4 linked regions of the Arabidopsis thaliana genome follow. The protein of the gene in region 1 interacts with the protein of each later gene in a pairwise test. Each region holds a gene or a part of one and is shown in the gene's direction. Other genes may lie near its edges.

What was found.
Region 2: the proteins of AT4G30240 (region 1) and UMAMIT8 interact in a protein complementation assay, tested with the Arabidopsis thaliana proteins (one large-scale study listed by BioGRID).
Region 3: the proteins of AT4G30240 (region 1) and AT5G52050 interact in a protein complementation assay, tested with the Arabidopsis thaliana proteins (one large-scale study listed by BioGRID).
Region 4: the proteins of AT4G30240 (region 1) and APE1 interact in a protein complementation assay, tested with the Arabidopsis thaliana proteins (one large-scale study listed by BioGRID).

Annotation. Positions count from the first base shown.
Region 1 is NC_003075.7:14,807,382-14,811,814, reverse strand, and holds AT4G30240 (Syntaxin/t-SNARE family protein), read left to right. Parts: upstream 1-1,739; 5' UTR 1,740-2,069; coding exon 2,070-2,152; intron 2,153-2,359; coding exon 2,360-2,474; intron 2,475-2,574; coding exon 2,575-3,159; intron 3,160-3,234; coding exon 3,235-3,334; intron 3,335-3,436; coding exon 3,437-3,456; 3' UTR 3,457-3,493; intron 3,494-3,579; 3' UTR 3,580-3,926; downstream 3,927-4,433. Other genes in the region: AT4G30250 (P-loop containing nucleoside triphosphate hydrolases superfamily protein), read left to right, coding at 1-553.
Region 2 is NC_003075.7:9,357,400-9,362,253, reverse strand, and holds UMAMIT8 (nodulin MtN21 /EamA-like transporter family protein), read left to right. Parts: upstream 1-2,014; 5' UTR 2,015-2,382; coding exon 2,383-2,573; intron 2,574-2,674; coding exon 2,675-2,740; intron 2,741-2,782; exon of another isoform or gene 2,783-2,882; coding exon 2,883-2,999; intron 3,000-3,094; coding exon 3,095-3,329; intron 3,330-3,432; coding exon 3,433-3,597; coding exon of another isoform or gene 3,598-3,642; exon of another isoform or gene 3,643-3,665; coding exon 3,666-3,817; intron 3,818-3,915; coding exon 3,916-4,069; 3' UTR 4,070-4,348; downstream 4,349-4,854. Other genes in the region: AT4G16630 (DEA(D/H)-box RNA helicase family protein), read left to right, coding at 63-78.
Region 3 is NC_003076.8:21,136,962-21,141,421, forward strand, and holds AT5G52050 (MATE efflux family protein), read left to right. Parts: upstream 1-1,741; 5' UTR 1,742-1,971; coding exon 1,972-3,489; 3' UTR 3,490-3,915; downstream 3,916-4,460.
Region 4 is NC_003076.8:15,470,395-15,477,590, reverse strand, and holds APE1 (acclimation of photosynthesis to environment), read left to right. Parts: upstream 1-2,005; 5' UTR 2,006-2,093; coding exon 2,094-2,372; intron 2,373-2,649; coding exon 2,650-2,696; intron 2,697-2,767; coding exon 2,768-2,870; intron 2,871-3,056; coding exon 3,057-3,143; intron 3,144-3,469; coding exon 3,470-3,553; intron 3,554-3,664; coding exon 3,665-3,718; intron 3,719-3,868; coding exon 3,869-3,949; intron 3,950-4,093; coding exon 4,094-4,135; coding exon of another isoform or gene 4,136-4,139; intron 4,140-4,226; coding exon 4,227-4,255; coding exon of another isoform or gene 4,256-4,306; exon of another isoform or gene 4,307-4,482; intron 4,483-4,775; exon of another isoform or gene 4,776-4,827; coding exon 4,828-5,017; intron 5,018-5,216; coding exon 5,217-5,317; intron 5,318-5,735; coding exon 5,736-5,833; intron 5,834-6,282; coding exon 6,283-6,383; 3' UTR 6,384-6,691; downstream 6,692-7,196. Other genes in the region: AT5G38680 (Galactose oxidase/kelch repeat superfamily protein), read right to left, coding at 1-267; AT5G38670 (Galactose oxidase/kelch repeat superfamily protein), read right to left, coding at 720-1,409, 1,620-1,805; AT5G38650 (Proteasome maturation factor UMP1), read left to right, coding at 4,892-5,017, 5,217-5,317, 5,736-5,833, 6,283-6,383; AT5G38640 (NagB/RpiA/CoA transferase-like superfamily protein), read left to right, coding at 6,917-7,196.

The DNA of each region.
Region 1 (4,433 bases):
GGAGGAACCGGGAAGCTCGGTGACTCTGTCGGGGCTATTGAACTTCACAGATGGGCTTTGGTCTTGTTGTGGGAGTGAGAAGATATTTGTGTTCACGACAAATCATATAGAGAAGTTAGATTCTGCTCTGATGAGAAGTGGGAGGATGGATATGCATGTTCACATGGGTTTTTGTAAGTTTCCGGCTTTGAAGATTCTGTTGAAGAATTATCTGAGGCTTGAGGAAGAAGATATGGATAGTGTTGTTTTGAAGGAGATGGAAGAATGTGTGGAGGAAGCAGAGATTACTCCGGCTGATGTTAGTGAAGTGTTGATTAGGAATAGGAGTGATGCGGAGAAGGCGGTGAGGGAGATTGTGAGTGTGTTGAAGGAGAGAGTTGTGAAGAGAAGGAAGAGTGTTGGATTGAAGAAGAAGAAACAGGAAGGTCAAGAAGAAGAAGAAGAAGCAGAGGAAGAACAAGAGAAGAGAGCTTTGGATAGTCCTAATAGAAGAAACAGAGAGGTTTGTGGGTTTCGAGAGGAGGAAGAAGAAGAAGATGAGAAGGAGAAGTGAATGATAAGAGACTGTTTATCCTAGGATCATCATCTAATGGTGGTTCTTGTGTGTTTTTAATTATCCGTTTTGTTTAGTCAAAATTATTATAATATATGATTAGTTACCATATAATATAACGTTATCCATTTTGGTTTACTCTTAAGTCAAAAGTAGGCACTGTCCAAAGTTAACCTTCTGAGATTTGCTACATGAGAGTTGAGACTAAACTGGCTTTTGTATCTACTAATGCTGCAGAAATTGCCACTTTGTTGTTGTATATGTTGTCTCAAATTTTCGTGTCGGTTACGTTTGTTTTGAAGAGATAAAAGAGAATTGGCGTTTGGACTTTGGGTGTTGTAAATTGGTTAGTGTCACACCCTTTTTTATACAGGTTATATGTGAAACCTGTAAATTTCAAAATTTATAGTTCAAGAAAACAATTTACTCGAGAAGTGACATTTAAAGAATCATCACATCAAACACTTGACTTCAAACTAGAAGTGACCTGAAAAATCCATCCGTTCTTTTTTTTTTTCTAAATATAATATTGACCGCTGATTTTTGACATATTGTAGTAGTGAAGCCCAATCCTACCCAAAGAGATTTGCATCAGAAAAAAGTTGTTTTATATTATGGGCCCAATCTTTTTGATCAAAAAAAATATATATATATATTATGGGCCCAATCTCTAGAATCTACCACCGGTTAATGTCTAAATAAGAACAAAAACAGGTCTTGGTAACTAATTAAAACTGAAAACACCAAAATCAAGGTTGGGATTTGTTGAAGAAGGTGGTATTTCACCATATCACAACAACTAATTAATTAAATTTATTTAACAAAACATGTCTCTCCAAAACTGAAAACACCAAAACATGTTTTCATTTTATGAATTTCAATTTAACTAGTTAAAATTTTGATATCACATGCGCTACACATGCCACCTCAATTTGTCCTGCTCCTACTGTCTATTACTAAACTAAAAGTTAAAATTAGCGTTGAGTTTTTATTGAATTTATTTACTCATTAGCATTTGACTTGTATAGAGAGTATTAAAATAAAGAATAATAATAATAATATAATGCGGTTGGCGAACAATTGATGTTGCGGCAAACCGGTAGGCCCAACAACAACACGGACATTCTTGATGTTTTTCTTTGACAAGCGGTAATCTCCTGCAGCTAAGACCATCTTACTTTAAATTATTTCCCAATTACAATAAAACACGTGTGAAATATGGTCAATTTAGTTCAGAGAGGCCTCTTTATTAAAATCTTCCATTAACGTTTAAAGTGAAGAAAGCAAAGAAATATCGAAGAATTTAAGGAATAAAAAATAAAAACAGAAAGCTGGAGGAAGAAAAAATAAAAATTCCTTCTTTCCTCCTGAAGGCAAAAAAGGAAGAGAAGAGAAGAGAAGAGAAGGAAGCAGAATCTAATTTTGGATTATAATCGGAGAGAGAATCTATTCCGACGAATCTTTTCGGGTTGATTTTTTGGTCTTTAATTTGAAGGGTTTAGGTGTGGTTTCGAAGATGATGGTAGCGAATAGTTTCGATCTATGGCAAAAGGATGTTTTTTTCTCTGCAGCTGAGGAGGTTCAAGAATCTGCTGATATGTATGTGTTTTTTGATTCTCTGTTTGTTTAATTGACTCATGTTGCTTGTGATGGTGGAATTCGGAATTTCAATTGAAAAATAGGGTATTTCGATTGTTTAGGGGACTAATTGGCTCTAGAATGGTCTAAGTGAGAACCTTTGTGTTTTGTGAAGGAATTGAGTTATCAAATTTGAAATTTTGTTTCTTATTTGTGTTGTATTTCCAGAATGGAATCTGCGTATAGGTTGTGGTTTAAAGAGAAGAGAGACGGTCGAGTATCCGTAGAATCAGACGAGCTCTGCAAAGAACTCCAAGCTGCTTTGAGCACTGCTAAATGGCAGGTATGAAACAATCAATGGTCCTTTGATCATTCCCTTTTTTTTTCATGGTTACTCATGAGTGTGTTAGTGATATTGGTTATATTGTTGTGACTTGAATCAGTTGGAAGAGTTTGAGAGGGCAGTGAGCTTAAGCCATGGAAATTGTCGAGATGACACTACCTTAACTAGGCATAAACAGTTTGTTACCGCTATTGAAAACCAGATTTATCAAGTGGAATCTACTCTGCTAGAGTCGTTAAGCGAGAATGGGAAACAACCTTTGCGTTGGGTGGATCTTAACAAAGAAGAGCGTGATGATCTCGCCATGTTTCTATCTGGATCTTCTCAGACGTCAGAGAGTTTAAACAGTGATAGCATCAACTTGAGAGATTCCTCAACGAGTTCTGTAGCTGAGAATCCACGTGGGATCAATGGCAGAAGAGAGGGTAGATGTTATGGCGACAGTCCTGATTGTGTGATAGACATTGACGACATAGGAAGTCCGGAAAGTGCAGATAAAAAAGGCGGTACAAGAAGAACATGGAGTTCACCAAATGTACCAAATATCAGTGCGTTGAGGATTAATGTCCCTGTTAATGCAAAAGAAGAAGAGAGGGAGAAGTTCCTATCACATATTGAAGACACTCCTAAAGAGAAAGGAGCTAAACCTATGTTTTGGCTGCAGAGATGTCGTGATTATAACCAGGTAAGCTTCTGCAGTTTGGATCATCTCTACACTATTAGAAAGGATCATAAGTCTTAGTTGTTTATCATTTTGCAGCTCTTTGACAGAGTCAAGGTTTATCAAAGACGATTTCGCGTTCCATTGAGCCGCCCTATTAAGCTCATTCTTTCCTTAACGCTAATCTTGATTCTTCTATGTGAGTCCTTCTCTTGGTTCTCATGAGTTATGTCACACCACTGTTCCATGACAGTCTCTACTCTCTATAACTGAATCAAATTCCTTGTTTATACCCTTGCAGTATTCATCTTGAGAACTTAAAACCGCGGTTTCAGAAACTCTCAAGAAACATTGACAGGTAAATGATATTTTAGATTCTAAATCAGAACTCCAAGTTTTCTAAAACAATCTTTAAACATTACATCCTTTTCGTGTATCTTGCAGGTTTTTTCACAGATTCTTGCGTATTGGGTTACACACTCGTTAGATGCTACATGATTCAACATCCTTCGAGGGAAGGAGGAGAGATTAAAAGACTTTGTCAAGATTCAAATGAAGGACAAAGCCTGATTTATTACTCTCTCTTAATCCTCAGGGAACATATAGGAACCTGTAAATTTGTAAGATCAATTTGTAAAACTTGAAGCTACGACGTTTCGTTAAACTTTAGACGTGTACCTAAAGGAAACCAATGCGTGTTTGTGCTCAATGATATCTCCAGTGTTTGTTTGTCTCTCAGATATTTGTTTTGGAACAAAACATTCTTTGTCCTCTTTCACTTACTTGGCAAGTCATTTGTTCCAATCATTGTCTTACTTTCTTTTAAAATGCGCATTATAGTTGACGTCTCAATTTCTTTCATCACTAATAGTGTCACAGCCCAAAAGTACCAATTTAGGTCAATTCTAAGCTAAGTAAAAAATCTTAATATTAGGTCGTATCATATAGACATATGATAATGGTGAAAAAGATTTATGAAGAAAGAAAAATGTCTAATAATTTTCGAATCTAGAAGTCTCTGGACAAAAGAAAGGTGCATGTCACAGTCTCTCAAGATGGAATTTGATCATACCATTTATCAACCATGAACTTCGAAGCACAGATAAATGCTAAAAAATGATACAACTTCCTGTCTAAATCATTAAAAATCGACTAGTCCCATTGGGAAAAGTAAGGTAATAAATTTTTCTCATATCCTTCTCGTGCTTCTTTTGATCATCATTCATTCCTCACCTAACCAATTCAATTTCAAAAACAATTTTATTAAAATATATATTGAAATATTCTAAATGAGCTGA
Region 2 (4,854 bases), 5.4 Mb from region 1:
TACCAGTAACATAAATTGTAATTTGTTGGTTTAACTCGGTATTTTCTACTTTTATCGTGCAGATATAAGCGTAGGTAAAAGGAAAAAGCATTTTTGAGAAGATATCGAAGGACAATCCCACGAGAAGAAGGACATTTCATTGAGAAGGGTTTAAACAATTTAAATTATTGTTGTAATATCATAATTTAGAACAAAACTGGTTAAGATGTTCGAAATTTTGTTTTCTTTGTCCTATGGTTTTTATAATCTTTCATAAAGCTTTACCATGATTATTCGTAGTATGAAGAAGCAAAAAGTGGTTTAAAAAAAAATTAAAAAAAAAAAGAAGAGGTAAAAAGTCACGTGAGTTGGCGACGGTTGTAGTTGTAGACGCGTGGGCACGTGAGAAGACTATGTATGTTCACAGACTTCAGAACTTGAGACTGTAACCTTTTGTCTGTTCGTACGTGGCACAACTCATTAGTCATTAGAATGTTTTGAACCGGTTTAGGAGCTAATATGAGTTTCTGCATATTCAAGATGCCTTTTATTTCACACCAAGGGGTTTTGATACTAGTTAGGGTCTATAAAACTAAGTCTTAAGTGTTTTGAGCGTGAACTTTTCTTTTTTTTGGTCAGCGTGAAATGTTTCTAAGCTTTTAAACGCATTAAATTTTCATGATATGGATAACAGATGTTACAAAAGAAAAAAATGTATGTGGATAAAGATTAAACTCTTAACTTAATATATTTAGATAGATCGCATATTATATTTGTTGGGAAAAAAAGAGGGGGAGAAAAGAGAGACGATAACACGCTTCACAAGTCATTGGAAAAGAGACTGAGGATTGTTGACGTGTAAGCATCCCCACTTTTGCTCTTTTCTTTCTTACACTCCTCATTTTTTCTTATCTTACGCTTCACCTACCATATTTTACACTCCACACAACATCTCCAATATTATACATCTCCAATTAAAAATCTTTCATAGGCACATCATTTATTATAAAATAACTAATTCGTTATAGACTCTAGTCTAGTTTTCTAGTTAAAACTGATCCCTAGAAAATATTTTGATCATAAAACTATTTCGGTGTGAAAACGAATCACTAAACCATCCTTTGGTGTTTTGGGTTAAATAACTAAAACATTTCGGTATGAAAACAGATCACTAAACCATCTCATTAGCATTAACAAGGATATTAGAATAGGAAGCTTTTTTTACCAATAAAAATGATTATAGGTAGGTAGGCACATGGCATACACATATGATTTATCTGTGAGACTGTGACAAATACAAATATGAAGACATTCCATATTTGCATGCAAGAAAAAAAGAAGGAAGTAAAGAGTGAACAGATAGTCAGATACGTAAAACGAATAAAGGAGAAGATGGTAAGATGTCGTATTATATATCCAAAAATAAGAATACAAACAAAAGAAGAACACTGATAAATATTTTTGTTACTCCCCCGAGAAAAGGCCAAGGTCCCCGAATCTGACGGAGTTTATTGCATCTGTCTTTTTTTCCTTCTTCTCCTTTCTTTTTGGTTTATCTTTCTTTTTCATACTCTGCATGTTTTTAAACTTCACTGTAGTACAGAATTTCATCTTTAACATAAATTTGTGTGAGGGCGATTTATGATCGATCATTCCACCTTTTTTTAAATGACTTTACTGACAAAATAAACATATTATTCTTTAGTCTTAAATAAATAGAATCTTGTTTTATAATTTTGCTATTTTTATTACGTTATTTTACCAATCAAAACTATGGTTTTATATTCCAAATTTTATTAATATAGTGGCAACTTCCCAAATAAAAATCTTGACAATTTGAATAATCTTAAATTTTTGCCTAGCCGATTTGGCGAATTTTATTTATTTATTTATTTGTTCTATTTAAGAAATATCAGACTCACCGAAATATTTATTTCTTAACAAATTAAGCTAACCGCTCTCAAATTTTTGTTTTGTCTTATTTCATACATATTAAATCCATTGCACCAAAATTTGAGGACTCTATGTGTTATAAAAATAATCACCGTTTTAGACTAAAAATAAATTAAAATCTGCGCTTCCCCAAAAAGCTATAATGGCGAGACACTCCATAATAAAACCAATGCAATGTAATGGACACATGTCTTTAAAAGCAAGAAGTGAAAGATAGAGAAAGTTTCAACTTCAAGCATTACACATTACCAAAAAGAGAGATCACAAACAAAGCATCTTTTCTATTTTCATTTATCAACAACAACAAAACCAAAAACTTAATTAGTGTTTCTCTGCTTTTTTAGTTCCCCCACAAAATCGAATCCTTCTGTTCGGTTACCAAATGGGTTCCAACTGATTTGTCCGTTATTATTCTTTTTATTTTCTTCGTGTTTTTTTTGTGTTGAAAAAATGATGAAGAGAGAGACGTTAATAGAAGCAGGAATAATCGGAGGATTGGCCGGAGCTCAGGTGATTTACGCCGGAAACTCGGAGCTACTGAGTCAGTTGCTGTCTCTCGGAATTGACCCACTTCTTATCGTTATCTTATGCACCTTTGCATCAGTTCTTCTCATCACCCCTCTCGCTTTTCTCCTTGAAAGGTATCTTCTTCTTTCTTTTAATTTACAAAATCTCTGTTTCGAACTTTATTCTACATTCTTTTTCTAATAAAAATTTGGATTTTTGTGGTGTGTATTTGTAGGAAGCTTTGGCCTAGAAGTCTAAGTTTCAAGTTGAAGATAAAACTAGTTTTGGTTGCTCTTGCTGGGTAAAAACTCCTCTTTTTATTTATTTCTGCATGTTTTGATTAATAGATGCTTACCTTGCTTCTTCTATACGTTAAAGAGAAGGAGAAGAATTAAAAATTCATAACAAGGGATTAATTAAGAGAGAAGTTGTGTTTGAAACAGAGTGACTCTGTTCCAGGGGTTATTCTTGGAAGGAATGAAACACACCTCTGCTTCAATGGCTACAGCTATGCCTAATCTCTGCCCTGCTTTCATTTTTGTCATTGCTTGGGCTGCTGGGTAAATCTTTTACTTTTGTGTTAATCTAATCTGTTTAGTGTTTGAAGATTAGAGCTTTCATTAATGTGTTATTTGAATAAATTGTAATTGTTAAGGATGGAGAAAGTGAAGCTAAGTTGTATGTATAGTAGAGTTAAGATGGGAGGGACAGTGTTGTGTGTGATGGGAGCTCTCATTATGAGCTTAATGCACAGTACTACCGCTACTTTAAGCTCGGTTAAGACTATACCTATTGTCCCTGACGAAGTCGTTGTGGACAAGGACAAGATCTTAGGTTGCCTCTATCTCCTCCTTGCCATTTGCGGCTTGTCCTCTAGTATTGTCCTTCAGGTTTCACCTTATACCCCTTCTTAGCCCTAGAGCTATCATATATCCGGTTGTGCTAATTAATCTGATTCTTTGCTTGTGAAATCACTTTGATCGTCCTAATTAGGCATCCATACTAGCCGAGTTTCCGGCGCCTATATCAATGTTCTCGATGGTATCTTTGATGGGTGGGATCACCACAGTAGCTTTGCAGTATGCTCTTAAGGGAAGTATGGAAATGGGAAGTGCATCAGTAATCGGTCTCGGCCACCTTGTGGGATACGCAATACTGGTACGTCATAAATCATATATGGTTGGCAACATTTGGATGTGTTGAAAATGTTTTTGTTTTTTTTCTAGGGAGGGTTGGTGAGTGGAGGAGGGTTAAGCTTCAATGCATGGGTGATTAAGAGGAAAGGACCAGTGATTGTGTCTCTCTTTAGTCCAATTGCAACTGTGGTATGTGTTGTTGTCTCTGCTTTTACCATGGAAGAGAGTTTCAACCTAGGAAGGTACATTTTTGCAGCTTTTCGCATTCATTGTATGATCTTTTAGACAGAAAGAGAAGTCATTTATCTTCTTTCTTGTTTGTTTTTCTCTGTCAAATTAGCTTTGCGGGAATGGCGTTGATGTTCGGAGGACTCTACTTCGTTCTGTGGGCTAAAGGAAAAGAGGATTGTGAAGAAATAGATGAAATGAAACAAGATGATGAAGAAAGTTTGCTTAGAACAGAGTTTGATCTTCAGAAGCCTCTCTTGCTTTAGTTCAAAGTCTTTTTTTTTTCTTCTTCTTAATGTTCTTGTGAATTTAGTTTAGGTTTAAAGAAGTAAGACAATTTTACTTTACAGATAATTCGGTTAGATATACATGTAGTAGGCTGTAGACTACAGTATATGTTCGTGTGTGATACTAAAATAGTTGGATATAAAAAAAACATCACATACATACAGGGCGAAGAAAAAGGGCCTAAACGATGTTATGTAAAAAGTTGTTCAATGTGAAGGTATATTTATATATAAATAAAAATTACCGTTGAGTTAGAAGATGAAGATAAACCTACCTAATATGAGAATGCGAATGGAACTAAGCAAATACACGCCAAAGACTGTTTTCCTATTCCCAAAGAAAAGCTGAGCCAGAGTATAAGTCAGGTGTGGAGATGGAGTTAGATAATGACAAACAAGGTAGAAACAAAAAAACGCAAGTCAGGGTATTTATAGAATTGTCATTACATAGCAGATGACCAAGCAGGTTAGTGTCCGCTATATCGGAAAGCTTCAAGAGAACGGGAAGATCTTCGATTCCACCATTGGAAAAGCACCTTTTAATACTTATGTGATATGGCAATTAAGGGATGGAGTTATGTGATTGGTACGTGATACTTATGAAGTTGTTGTTACATGCAGGTCATGGTAAAGTCATTAAGGGATGGGATGTTGGCTTAAATGGTAACTTAGTTTCGTCCTCCTAAAGGTTTTCATCACTTTGTTTCAAATGGTGTATTGCTCTCAAGTTTTAAAAATTTCACAGGCATGTGTGTTGGGGACAA
Region 3 (4,460 bases), on another chromosome or scaffold:
TAAAACAAAATTTCAATAGAGGTTTTGTCGATTAATATCAAAAAGAAATAATTTAAACTTGAATGTATTATACAGTAGAAACATCATTAAATAGCATTCAAAATGAATAAAATTTGTAACAGTTAGTTCTTGTGTTAGTTTATGTATAGAAATTTTAGCGAAGTATAGTTGTTGACCCAAAAAAAATGTAGGAACATATATAGTTTTCTTTGGTCCCAAAACGAGTTTATTTTTTGTTCTTCAGTGTTGAACACTATTTTGCTCGAACATGTCTGGTCAACGTCCGACCAGCCAATTCCACTTCATAGTTTGCATATTAACGAACTTCCATCTTTTTGCTGATTACAGCTTTCATTATACCGTTTAGATTTTTCTTTTTTTGCCTAAATAAAAAAATATGACCCTAAACATTCGTAATTAATAGAAAACATTAAATAAGTACGATACAAAAGACTGAATCTCTATAATAATAGATTGAGACCATATTCTTGTGAGATAAATAAAAGATTGAGACCATATTCTTGTGACAATTGGTATACAATTAGGTTACAAATATTCTAATCCAAATTTAATTTCGAGAACATAATCGTGTGAGTAACGATAAACAATTTCATTTTGTTTACAAAGATATATGATATATTGCACTTTTTAAAATCTAATATGCTTACTTTTTTGAGCTGTCATTAATCCCCAAACTCCACTTTGGGATTTTTTTAAAAAGTCTAATTCAACGCGTGGGGCACACCGTGTGTAAACTTCGACTTTGAAAAGTTATAAACAGAAAATGATGTTTTTTAAAAAAACAGGGAAAAAAAGAGAAGTTTCTATTTGAAATAGGTTCAAAACCCACTGGCCAAGTACTTTGTTAGTGGCATGTTTATCATGAGAATATATTTGACCCGTCCCTTGTTTCAGTTTTGCTATTACGTTCCGTGTCAGTTAATTTAAAACTCTAATCATATCTTATTTGATTAAAGAATATAGTGATGATGAAAAGTTATATTTTGTGTACTTGAATGTTTGAGTTGGGCCTCGTCTATCATATGGCAATATCTCCTTTAAGTGTGTGAACGTAAATTACCAATTTCAAGGTCCTCCTCTTAACGTAAATTATCCCAGCTCTCAGGGTTTTTCAGCAAGGGAATAATATAACAATCTAATTAGTCAAAAATTGGATCAAGTGCTAGTAAATTATGCTTGGTTTACTAATCTTTCCTCATTCTTTTTTCCCCATTTTGATTTATGAGGATCACGTTTAATGTAAGGTTTAAATTTCTCAAACCAGAGCTGGTTGTCATCGTTTAAATGAATCTATATGCATGTATTCTATTCCATTAGAAATTATACACACGTAGTTAACTGTAATTAGCTATAGTTAAATCCGTACACACCGTTTTTTCCAGTTTGAATCAGTATAGTGATACATGATATAAGTATATAACATGCGTATAATCAACATACATGATTTAGACAAAATATATTATTATTCTAATTTTTGTCATATAGATTTTGATTCACATTATAAACTGTATATATTGACAAGAAAAAAAAAACATTTGACAAAAGAAGAAAATAATAAACATTTTTTGAAATCATGATTTTGAGGTGATAGTCTATTTATACTAATACTAATGATACTATGTGTCAATGCATCACTAATACATCTTCAGATTGAGTAGAAACCGTGTATATGGATTTAACTCTAGTTAAACAACAAGAACATACAAATTTGAATGTAATAAGCGTGTAACCATTTGACTTGAAAATAAAATACATATGACCAAATTGAAAATAATAATATTAAAATCCAGTGCAACGAAAAAAATAATATGTTAAAACAATAAAACCCACTCACTACTTTCTCTATATAAAGCCAAATGCTTCAACCAATCTTCTTCACACCTACAAATCTTCTTCTTCTCTCTCTCTCCCTCTTCCTCTGTCACACAGATATTGACAAAAACAAAAAGAATGAGTCAATCAAATCGTGTCAGAGACGAAGTTACATTACCTTTACTCCAAAAAACCTCTCATCTGAAAAATCACTCCTCTGTTCTCTCTGTTTTCCTAAATGAAGCAATCTCAATCTGCAAAATCTCTTACCCATTGGTCCTCACTGGTCTCTTCCTCTACGTTCGCTCCTTCGTCTCTCTGTCTTTCCTCGGTGGTCTCGGTGACGCCACTCTCGCCGGTGGCTCCCTCGCCGCCGCATTTGCAAACATCACCGGATACTCTCTTTTCTCCGGTTTAACCATGGGCGTTGAGTCTATCTGTTCACAAGCCTTTGGAGCCAGACGCTATAACTACGTCTGCGCGAGTGTCAAGAGAGGAATCATCCTCCTTCTCGTCACTTCTCTCCCTGTTACACTTCTTTGGATGAATATGGAGAAGATTCTTCTAATCTTGAAACAGGACAAGAAGCTCGCGTCCGAAGCGCACATCTTTTTGCTTTACTCTGTTCCAGATCTTGTCGCTCAATCTTTCTTACACCCATTAAGAGTTTATCTTCGGACTCAGTCAAAGACTCTTCCTTTATCAATCTGTACAGTGATCGCGAGTTTTCTTCACTTGCCAATCACGTTCTTCCTTGTAAGTTACCTCGGTTTGGGGATTAAAGGAATCGCTTTGAGTGGTGTTGTGTCTAATTTCAACCTTGTCGCTTTCCTCTTTCTCTACATCTGTTTCTTCGAAGACAAGCTAAGTGTTAATGAGGACGAGAAGATAACAGAGGAGACATGTGAAGATAGTGTGAGAGAATGGAAGAAACTACTCTGTCTTGCGATACCAAGTTGTATATCGGTTTGTCTTGAGTGGTGGTGCTATGAGATTATGATTTTGCTTTGTGGGTTTCTCTTAGACCCTAAAGCAAGTGTTGCTTCAATGGGAATTCTCATCCAAATCACTTCTCTTGTGTACATTTTCCCTCATTCCTTGAGTTTAGGAGTCTCCACCCGGGTCGGAAACGAGCTTGGTTCTAACCAGCCAAAAAGAGCGAGAAGAGCAGCCATTGTTGGACTTGGTCTCAGCATCGCCCTAGGGTTTACGGCTTTCGCGTTTACTGTCTCGGTTAGAAACACATGGGCGATGTTTTTCACTGATGACAAAGAAATCATGAAGTTGACTGCCATGGCTCTGCCAATCGTTGGTCTATGTGAGCTCGGGAACTGCCCGCAAACTACGGGATGCGGTGTTCTCAGAGGCTCCGCGAGGCCGAAGATCGGAGCTAATATTAATGGAGTGGCGTTTTACGCGGTTGGCATTCCGGTTGGAGCAGTTTTGGCGTTTTGGTTTGGGTTTGGATTTAAGGGACTTTGGCTTGGGATGCTTGCGGCGCAGATCACGTGTGTGATTGGTATGATGGCGGCGACGTGTAGGACCGATTGGGAACTTGAGGCGGAAAGGGCTAAGGTGCTCACAACGGCGGTGGATTGTGGCAGTAGTGACGACGACGCCAAGGAGGATATGGAGGCTGGGATGGTTGATAAGTAGGGAGGAATGAGTCATGAGGAGGTCTTTAACAAAAACAAATTGACTTTGTTTTGAATTAGTTGATAACTTTTTTCTTTTATTGAGAAGAGATTCGTTGGAGGATTAATGTAAATTTTGTAGTGTAATGATAACACAATCTAGAGATTCGTCGTTGTATTCAAGGTTTTTAAATTCATAAGGTCAAATTTTGCTCAAATCGCTTAAACCTTTCTTTATTCGACAGAATTCAGTTACATTGTATGTTTTGTTTAGTGTAACGATTTTTTTGGACGCAGAATAAATCTTGAGAAAATAAATAAACTAACCATTGACCTTACTGAAGAAAATCAATAACCATGGGATTGTGGGTGTCTTTGTTAATTCAATCAATATAACAAACTAAAGTAGCACATGCGGACGAAATGTAAAAATAATGGGGGATTTTTTTTTTTAATATGCATAAATAATTATATAACTATATTTAAATAACTGCAAATAAGGTGTGTACAAGGAATTAAATTCACATATGTATTATAACCATAGTCGACAATTTCAAATATACATGTTTGATTAATTAGCTTCTAGTGATGCTTCGAGGCAAAGTATATCCCTCTATGTGATAGATCATTTACACATCAATTTCTTCCGTGGTAAAATAAAATAGATAAAACCTTTGCGATTATTAAAAAAGCCATAACTATGGGATCATGGTTAGTTTGTGTTTTCTTTTACTTTGGAAACTCCTGATTTAAATAGAAAAACATTTAACATAAAAGAAAAAGCCTTTATTTACACACAGAAGTTTAGCCAATCACTTACTTCTTTCCAAATGCTGCTCACAAAAATAAGTTTTTTCATATTTTCATTAGGATAACGTCAAAAATATCATTTATTTATTTAATAAATCTTTTATCGCTAATTTTATTTTCTATTTTTTATCTTTTTAATATCGTTTATCGTTACATATAATAACTTTAGGCAAATATATATTT
Region 4 (7,196 bases), on another chromosome or scaffold:
TTTCAAGCAGAGAGTAAACCAGCTAGGGCTCTCAAAAGGATTTAAGTATAAGCATACATATAGACAACCCTCGGTGCGGTTCAAGAGTGACCGTTCCTTGTAAAGCTCCGGTGAAGCTAGGAGAGATCGAAAGCTCTTGGAGACAAAGGAGAGAATCGGATAATACAATCTTGAGACTCGTGCGATGCAGCTTATTATCAAAGCATCGGGAAGTGACGGATTTGAGTTCGATTCCGGCGCTGGCGAAAACTTTTCCGGGGACGACATTGGATGAGTTTAAGAGACGAAAATGGCTGTTGAACTTGGAGAAAACAAATTTAGGGTTGGACTTTATATATAGAGGGATTAAAACCGGTTAATGCCTTTGGTTAAGGGGAGAACCGGTTATTTGTTTTGTATGTTTTGTTTGGTTAAGCATTGAGTAGTGAGTTGTTGATAGCTTCATTTATGAACAACCAAAAAGGCTCTATTTGTATGCTAATAATGATCACTCGAAATCTCTAGGTATGAAACGATCCTTATAGTTGTGAGATGTGAGTTAGTTTTAAGAATTTATGTATGTATTCTATATTTCTTATTATGATATTGTATATTCAGTTTTTGTAATGTCGGATTTCTTTTATGGTAAAGAATTATGCTTATCAATCAATAAGTGACATAAATTAATTAGAAGTGAAACAAGGGACAAAATCATAGTTTCAAGGCTCGTAACGCATTCATCAAAGAGTAGCAGCAAGAACCTTGACGAATTCATATTGTCTAGGGACTGTAAGCACATGAGCAAACCATTCAACTTTTCCCCATATTTCCAAACTTCCGCGTCTTTCAAGCGCAATCTCCGCACACCAAATCATCTTCTTTCGGCGCCCAGGCAAATAGTCGTCCCACAAAACTGCCATCTTCCCACCATAATCAACCATTCTAAGACAAGCATCAATAGGGAACTTAGGTAATCCTACCATACCCTTCAAGTCTCTCCACTCTCTTTCCTCACTGTGATACCACCATACGGACGTTGAGATATCTCCTTTTACAATAGTGTACCAAACATTCCCTATATTGCGATAACAATCATATAAATACTTATTATGTTCTATGCTTGGTGTAACCAGGTCCCATCTACCTTCCTTGGAATTGTAAGCATCCACACCTTTGTAGCTCACCAGGTGCAATTTTCCGTCAAACCTTACGATTTTGTAGTGAAAGTCGTGTTTTGTCTCGCTGCAAGGGACAGACAAAGGATCCCAAGTTTGTGTATTTGTGTCAAACACTTGGAACGTCATGGAGTCGCCATCTTTGCATCTTCCTGATACATATATCTTTTCATCAAGAACGCAAGCAGTACATGACATTAGCTTCACCCGCAACCTAGGGCCCTCGTGCCACGTGTTAGACGTGCAATACAGAATCTAGACGCTAGAGGAAGGCAATTCATATCCGCCAATGTTGTAGATACTAGAACAAACCGACACAATGCTCGAAGAAGATGACTCAAGAGGAGTATGTGGAAATGGGACTGTAGCCAAAACATACCCACTTGACTTTAGGGTTCCAGTATGTTTACGGAAAAGAGTAAACCACCTCGGTTTCTCATCTTAAGGATTTAACTTTAAGCACACATAGAGACAACTCTCCGTGCGGTCCAAGAGTGATCGGGTCTTGTAAAGCTCCGGTGAAGCTATGAGAGATCGAAAGCTCTTGGAGACGAGGGAGAGAGCCGGATAATACAATCTTGAGACCCGTGCGACGCAGCTCAATATCAAATCATCGGGAAGTGACGGATTAGGGTTCGTTTGCGACTGCATCGTGTACCGCTTCTTCTCCAACTTTGCAGAGAACTTCAAGGATCGGTCTTTATAAAGAAATTTCCAAAACCGGCTCACGTCTTTGCTTAAGGAAAAACCGGTTCAACTTTCCATAGTCAATAGAATCCGAACCGCCAATTGATTTTGATTGTTGACCGGGTTTAGTAGACCGAATTTAGAATAGGTGAACCGTGGCCAGAATTTTGGCGGCCGATACACTTCTTTACCTCAGCCTCACATTACTACTCTCACAAAAGATACACAGAGAGAGAAGAGAAGAGGAAGAAAATGGGATCTATAACGGTAGCTCCGGGAACCACCGTCTTATTCTCCAGTCGGCGGCTAGATCTTTGCGGTCGTCGCCATGAGAATCTATCCGTCGTTTCGTCCTCACAACCGTCTCTGATGCCAAAGCAGAGATGGCTTTATATTCCCGAGACGAGGTTGAAAAGAGAGGTTTTAAAGCTCGATGTCGTCGGAAGAGCTGCTGATTCCACGAGCTCTTCTCCATCAGTAGCTTCCGGTGATAGAACCTTAATTCCTGATGATGAATTCACTTTAGCCAAGGTTTTAAATCCCTAATTAAAGAGTTTCTTCAAATTCATTGTGTTTATATAATTAACTATTCCTGAATCAGTCATTGCCTTGTCCAATTTTGTGAACTGTGTGAGATTTATGGTAAAAGTATAGTGTCTCTCCAAGTAGGTAGATTCGATTATTAGTGGTCTGAAATTGAGAATTAGGAAGGATTTGATGTATGCAACTCATAGTTTATAGGTGGTATTGAATGTGCGTTGGAATAATTTTGGACACTGAAATTTTTTCCATATGTTTTGCATTGCAGATTTCATTTGGTGTTATTGGGCTAGGTCTCGGGGTTTCGCTACTCTCGTGAGTTTTCTCTTGCCTTCTTTGTTGCTATGGGTATATGTGAGGTTTAGCATTATGGATCTGTTTAACAGGTATGGTTTTGGGGCCTATTTTACTATCCTTCCTGGAACTGAGTGGTCTGCTATAATGCTAACATATGGATTTCCCCTTTCTATTATCGGAATGGCTCTTAAGGTATGCTCTTTATGCTCTTTAGTTATCTTTCTCACTATCATGTCCTTGAGAAAGTGGAATGTTTCGGATAACTGTAAAATTACTGAGAAAATTGACTTTTGTATTAGAGTTACTCATTTCTTTCTTTGAGTTTTCGGAATGGTTAATTGTTTTAGTCCCTGAGGATGGGTTTTGCTTCCTTTGCAGTACGCAGAACTCAAACCAGTTCCTTGCTTGAGCTATTCGGATGCGGTGAAGCTTAGAGAAAGCTGTGCTACTCCTATTTTAACGCAGGTACGTAGTGGTTCTGGTTACTCTCGACTGACCGGAGTACCTTCAATCTGATTTTAGTTGTTCTTCAGCTCGTCTTTGTTACATTAATTTCCTAAAACATATTTATGTTTCTGATAAGAGGAAGGGGTGTTAGTAGTTTTCGTCATTAGTATTTCGAAATTCAATCTAAACACTAGCTTGATTTCAGTATCATAGGTTCTTTTGCAGAAAGTCTTGCTCAGTTTAGTTTCCCTATATGACATCACATCGTAGTTTTGTCAGTGCACATAGGATTTTAAATTTACTTCTCGTGAATTGTTAATGTGCCTTCTTCTTTCTTTTATTAGGTTAGAAATGATGTCACGAGATACCGTTATGGAGATGAACAACATTTGGAAGAAGCACTAAAACGAATCTTTCAATATGGGCTGGTAAGCTATTTTGTTGAAACAAAATGAAGCACGAAAACAAAATGAAGCACAACACACGCTTCTTGTACTTCCGCTTTAACCTCTCTTTCTTTCGACTGTTTTGGTCATAAGGGAGGAGGAATCCCGAGACGTAGTGCACCTATCTTACAGCTGATAAGGGAAGAGGTACATTTCTTCACGCGCATGACTTTACATCATATTATTTACATGAATCATCAAAATATATAACTCAATTTTTACTTGCATATGACATGGATATTGACTGGTGAAACTAAACTTAAACGGATCATTTTTGATAACTCATCATGTCTGTAGGTCCTGACCGATGGTCGGTACTGTGTGGTCCTTGTATTTGAGGCCAAAGCTCTGACGTTGTCAGATTTTGAAAAAAGACAGGTAAGAGTTAGATTCATATACTACTAACAAATCAGCTTGGCGCATAAGAAAATAGCTTAAGTAGCGTTGGTTTTATCAAATCTAGTTTTTAAGAAGTAGCAAAACATAAAGCTGGAACTAAGCATAAAAATTTTGTTTTGATAGGCGAAATTCACTTCCTTCTTTGGACCAAACATCACGGCAGAAGTCGGTAAGTAGTGAATCAATTCTCCATTCATGTTTATGAATTTCTTGTTCTCGGTTCTTAAAAAATTATTATTGTTGTTTTGCTTTGAAGGTAAAGGAGAAAGTGAGAATCTCTATGAAGTAAGACTGATTTCCAACCTCTCCACCAACTCTGTATCTTCTACCTCTTGAACATAGACAATCATGTATACGGCGACGTTTTCAGTCAATGTTATTTTGGTCTTGTAAATCAATTCTATATAATTATCCTATGTATAAAAAGTTCATACTATTTACAGAAATGGGAATTGGAACTAGCCTTGTCGAATGGTAATACGGTCGGAAGGGGACAAGCTACGATTGCAACGTGTTCTAGAGTAATTTTGATTTGAGTAAACAAAATACATATACTGTATATTATTCATATCTTGGTGAACAATACAAAATATATTAGTTTGTTTTAAATTACCAAACTAAAGCCTTAAAAAAAGTATCAAATTAAGCACATAAGTTAGAAAAGAAAAATGTGTTGTAAGAAAGAAAAAAGGTTAGGAAAGAAATATGCGACAGAAAAAAGAGTTTTATGGGCTTACAAATAAGAAAAGCCCAAATGGGCCTTGAGTTTGAGCTTTACATAAAATTCATTCTACTAAACTTAAGCAAAATCATTCCTTCTTCTTTCTCTGAAACTTTTGCCTTGCTTGCTTGCCCAGAAAGTCGCCGAGAAAGTTAAAAGTAGAACGGCGGAGGAAAAAAAAACGAAGAGGAAGAGGAGAGATGGAGTCGCAGAAGAAGATAGCTCATGAGATCGGAGGTATGAAGAACGATGCTCTTCGCTTTGGTCTTCACGGCGTTAAGAGCGATATCCTTAGATCTCATCCTCTCGAAACGGCTTACGAATCTGTAATCAATCACTTCACAATCTTTTTTTTTTTTTTTATTGATATTGAGGAATTAGAAAATTAGGCTAATTAAGGAACTTAGGGTGTTGATGAATAAGCTTCGTGTTGATTCAGAAATTTGAGAATTGGGATTTTTTGACGGGGTTTCTGAAATTAGTTTTTTTTTTTCCTTTCTATAAACTTGTTTATTGTGATTTCAGGGGAAGCAATCACAAGAAGAAATGAAGAGGAGAGTGATCACGCATACTTATGGAGCTGCTCTTCCTTTGAAGATGGATCTTGATAGACAAATCCTTTCTCGGTATGGATCTTTAAATCTGTAGCATATGAAATTCTGAATTACACTGATTATTAGGTATGAGAATGTATGAGAATCTTCCTTAGGCTTTATAGAATACTGTTAAGATTGAAATATGGTTTCCTAATGCTAGTAATCTATCTTGATTAGGTCAATTGCTGTTCTGAATTTTGAAATATTGTTAGTACAAATGTGTATATGAATCATCATAATGATTATATCGAAAATTCGGAATCATAATCGTGTAGTGCTACTTAGAATTAGATTTGCAGAACCATAAACGCGTAGTGGATACTCTTAAATTAGTAGCAATATGTAGATTGAATTCAGAACCATAAACGCATAGAGCAGCCTCTTCTTCATTGAATATTTATTGGTGAATTGAATATTTATTGTATATCTTTTTATGTGGAGTATTCAGGTTTCAGAGACCTCCTGGACCAATTCCTTCATCAATGCTTGGCCTTGAAGTCTACACAGGAGCTCTAGATAATTTTGGTTTTGAGGATTACTTGAATGGTAATTGTTTTACACCAGTTTTCCCATTTGGTTGTGCATTAGAGTTTTCTATTCCTACAATCTTTGAGCATTTCTCAAAACATGACCGTCACATACTGCTTGCATTGTGTAACCAAATCATCCTCATCCTTGCATAGAGTTTAACTCTTTGTTTAGCATATAATAGAAAAGTGTCTCAACTTGTTTATTTCGTTTCGCTTACTAGTCTCTACTTTGTAGATTGTTCCACTCCAAAACACCAATAGACAGTGACAAACCTTTGTTCCAGTTAGACTGTCACAAATCATCGAGCATTGCTCAAAAATTGACTGTCACATACTACTTACTTACATTGTGTAACCAAAGTTGAACTTTTGGTTCAGTATATAAGAGAAAAATGTTTAAACTTTTTAATTCTCTTAGTTTCACAATTTATATTGTTCTGACGATGAATGGTGTATAATCTACAGATCCTCGCGAATCCGAGACGCTGAAACCAGTAGACTTTCACCACGGGATGGAAGTTCGGCTTGGTCTCTCCAAAGGCCCAGCTTCCCCAAGTTTCATGTAGTCACCACCATCAAAGTATTTCCTTCGTCAGGTCTCATATGCTTTTTAATCTGAGTAAGATCATGTTATGAATTTCCACCAGCCCTAAAAGAATCTACTTGTTGTTTGATCTCTTCTCTATACTGTGTCTCCTTTGCTCTGAACATGATAAAACATATGAACTGTGTTTCAGTTCTTATCTCTCTCAGTTCACAATTTGTTGGACTTGCTTAGTTATTTAAATAAGATTATGCTCCTATTTCATTATTATGTTACTGACACCAAAACCTTGGATACTAGATTCTATTAGAATAAATAAATTGCATATGGATTAATACTCTAAACAAAACAAAAACAAAAGAACAAAGTAAGATTGTTTTAGTGACTCGGACTGGACTGTTAACATCGGATAAATCTGAAAAAGTAAATAAATAAAAATAAAAACCCTATTCTACGTTTTATTCGTCTGGGAAAACAAAAATTAAATTCGATCCCCAAAATTAATAATTCCGTCTTCACCGAGAAAAAATCCAGAGCTTCTTCTCCTCCGACGCGATGGAGTCTCGTCGGAACCCTCGCGCCGTAGTAGATCCAAAGGTCCGACAAGTCGGTTTCTTCACATCATCTCAACCCGATTCATCAACTCAACAACAACAACCCGACCCGATCGCTGCTACCTCTGCTTCTTCTTCTTCTTCCACCATTTCTCCTTCCGGTAACTCACTCTCCCCCGTCATGATTCCTCCTCCTCGTCTCAATTCCTCTGATACTTTCCCTCTTCGAGTCGCTGTCGCTGGTGCTGCTGCGTCAGCCGTGTCTCCTTCTTCGTTTTCTT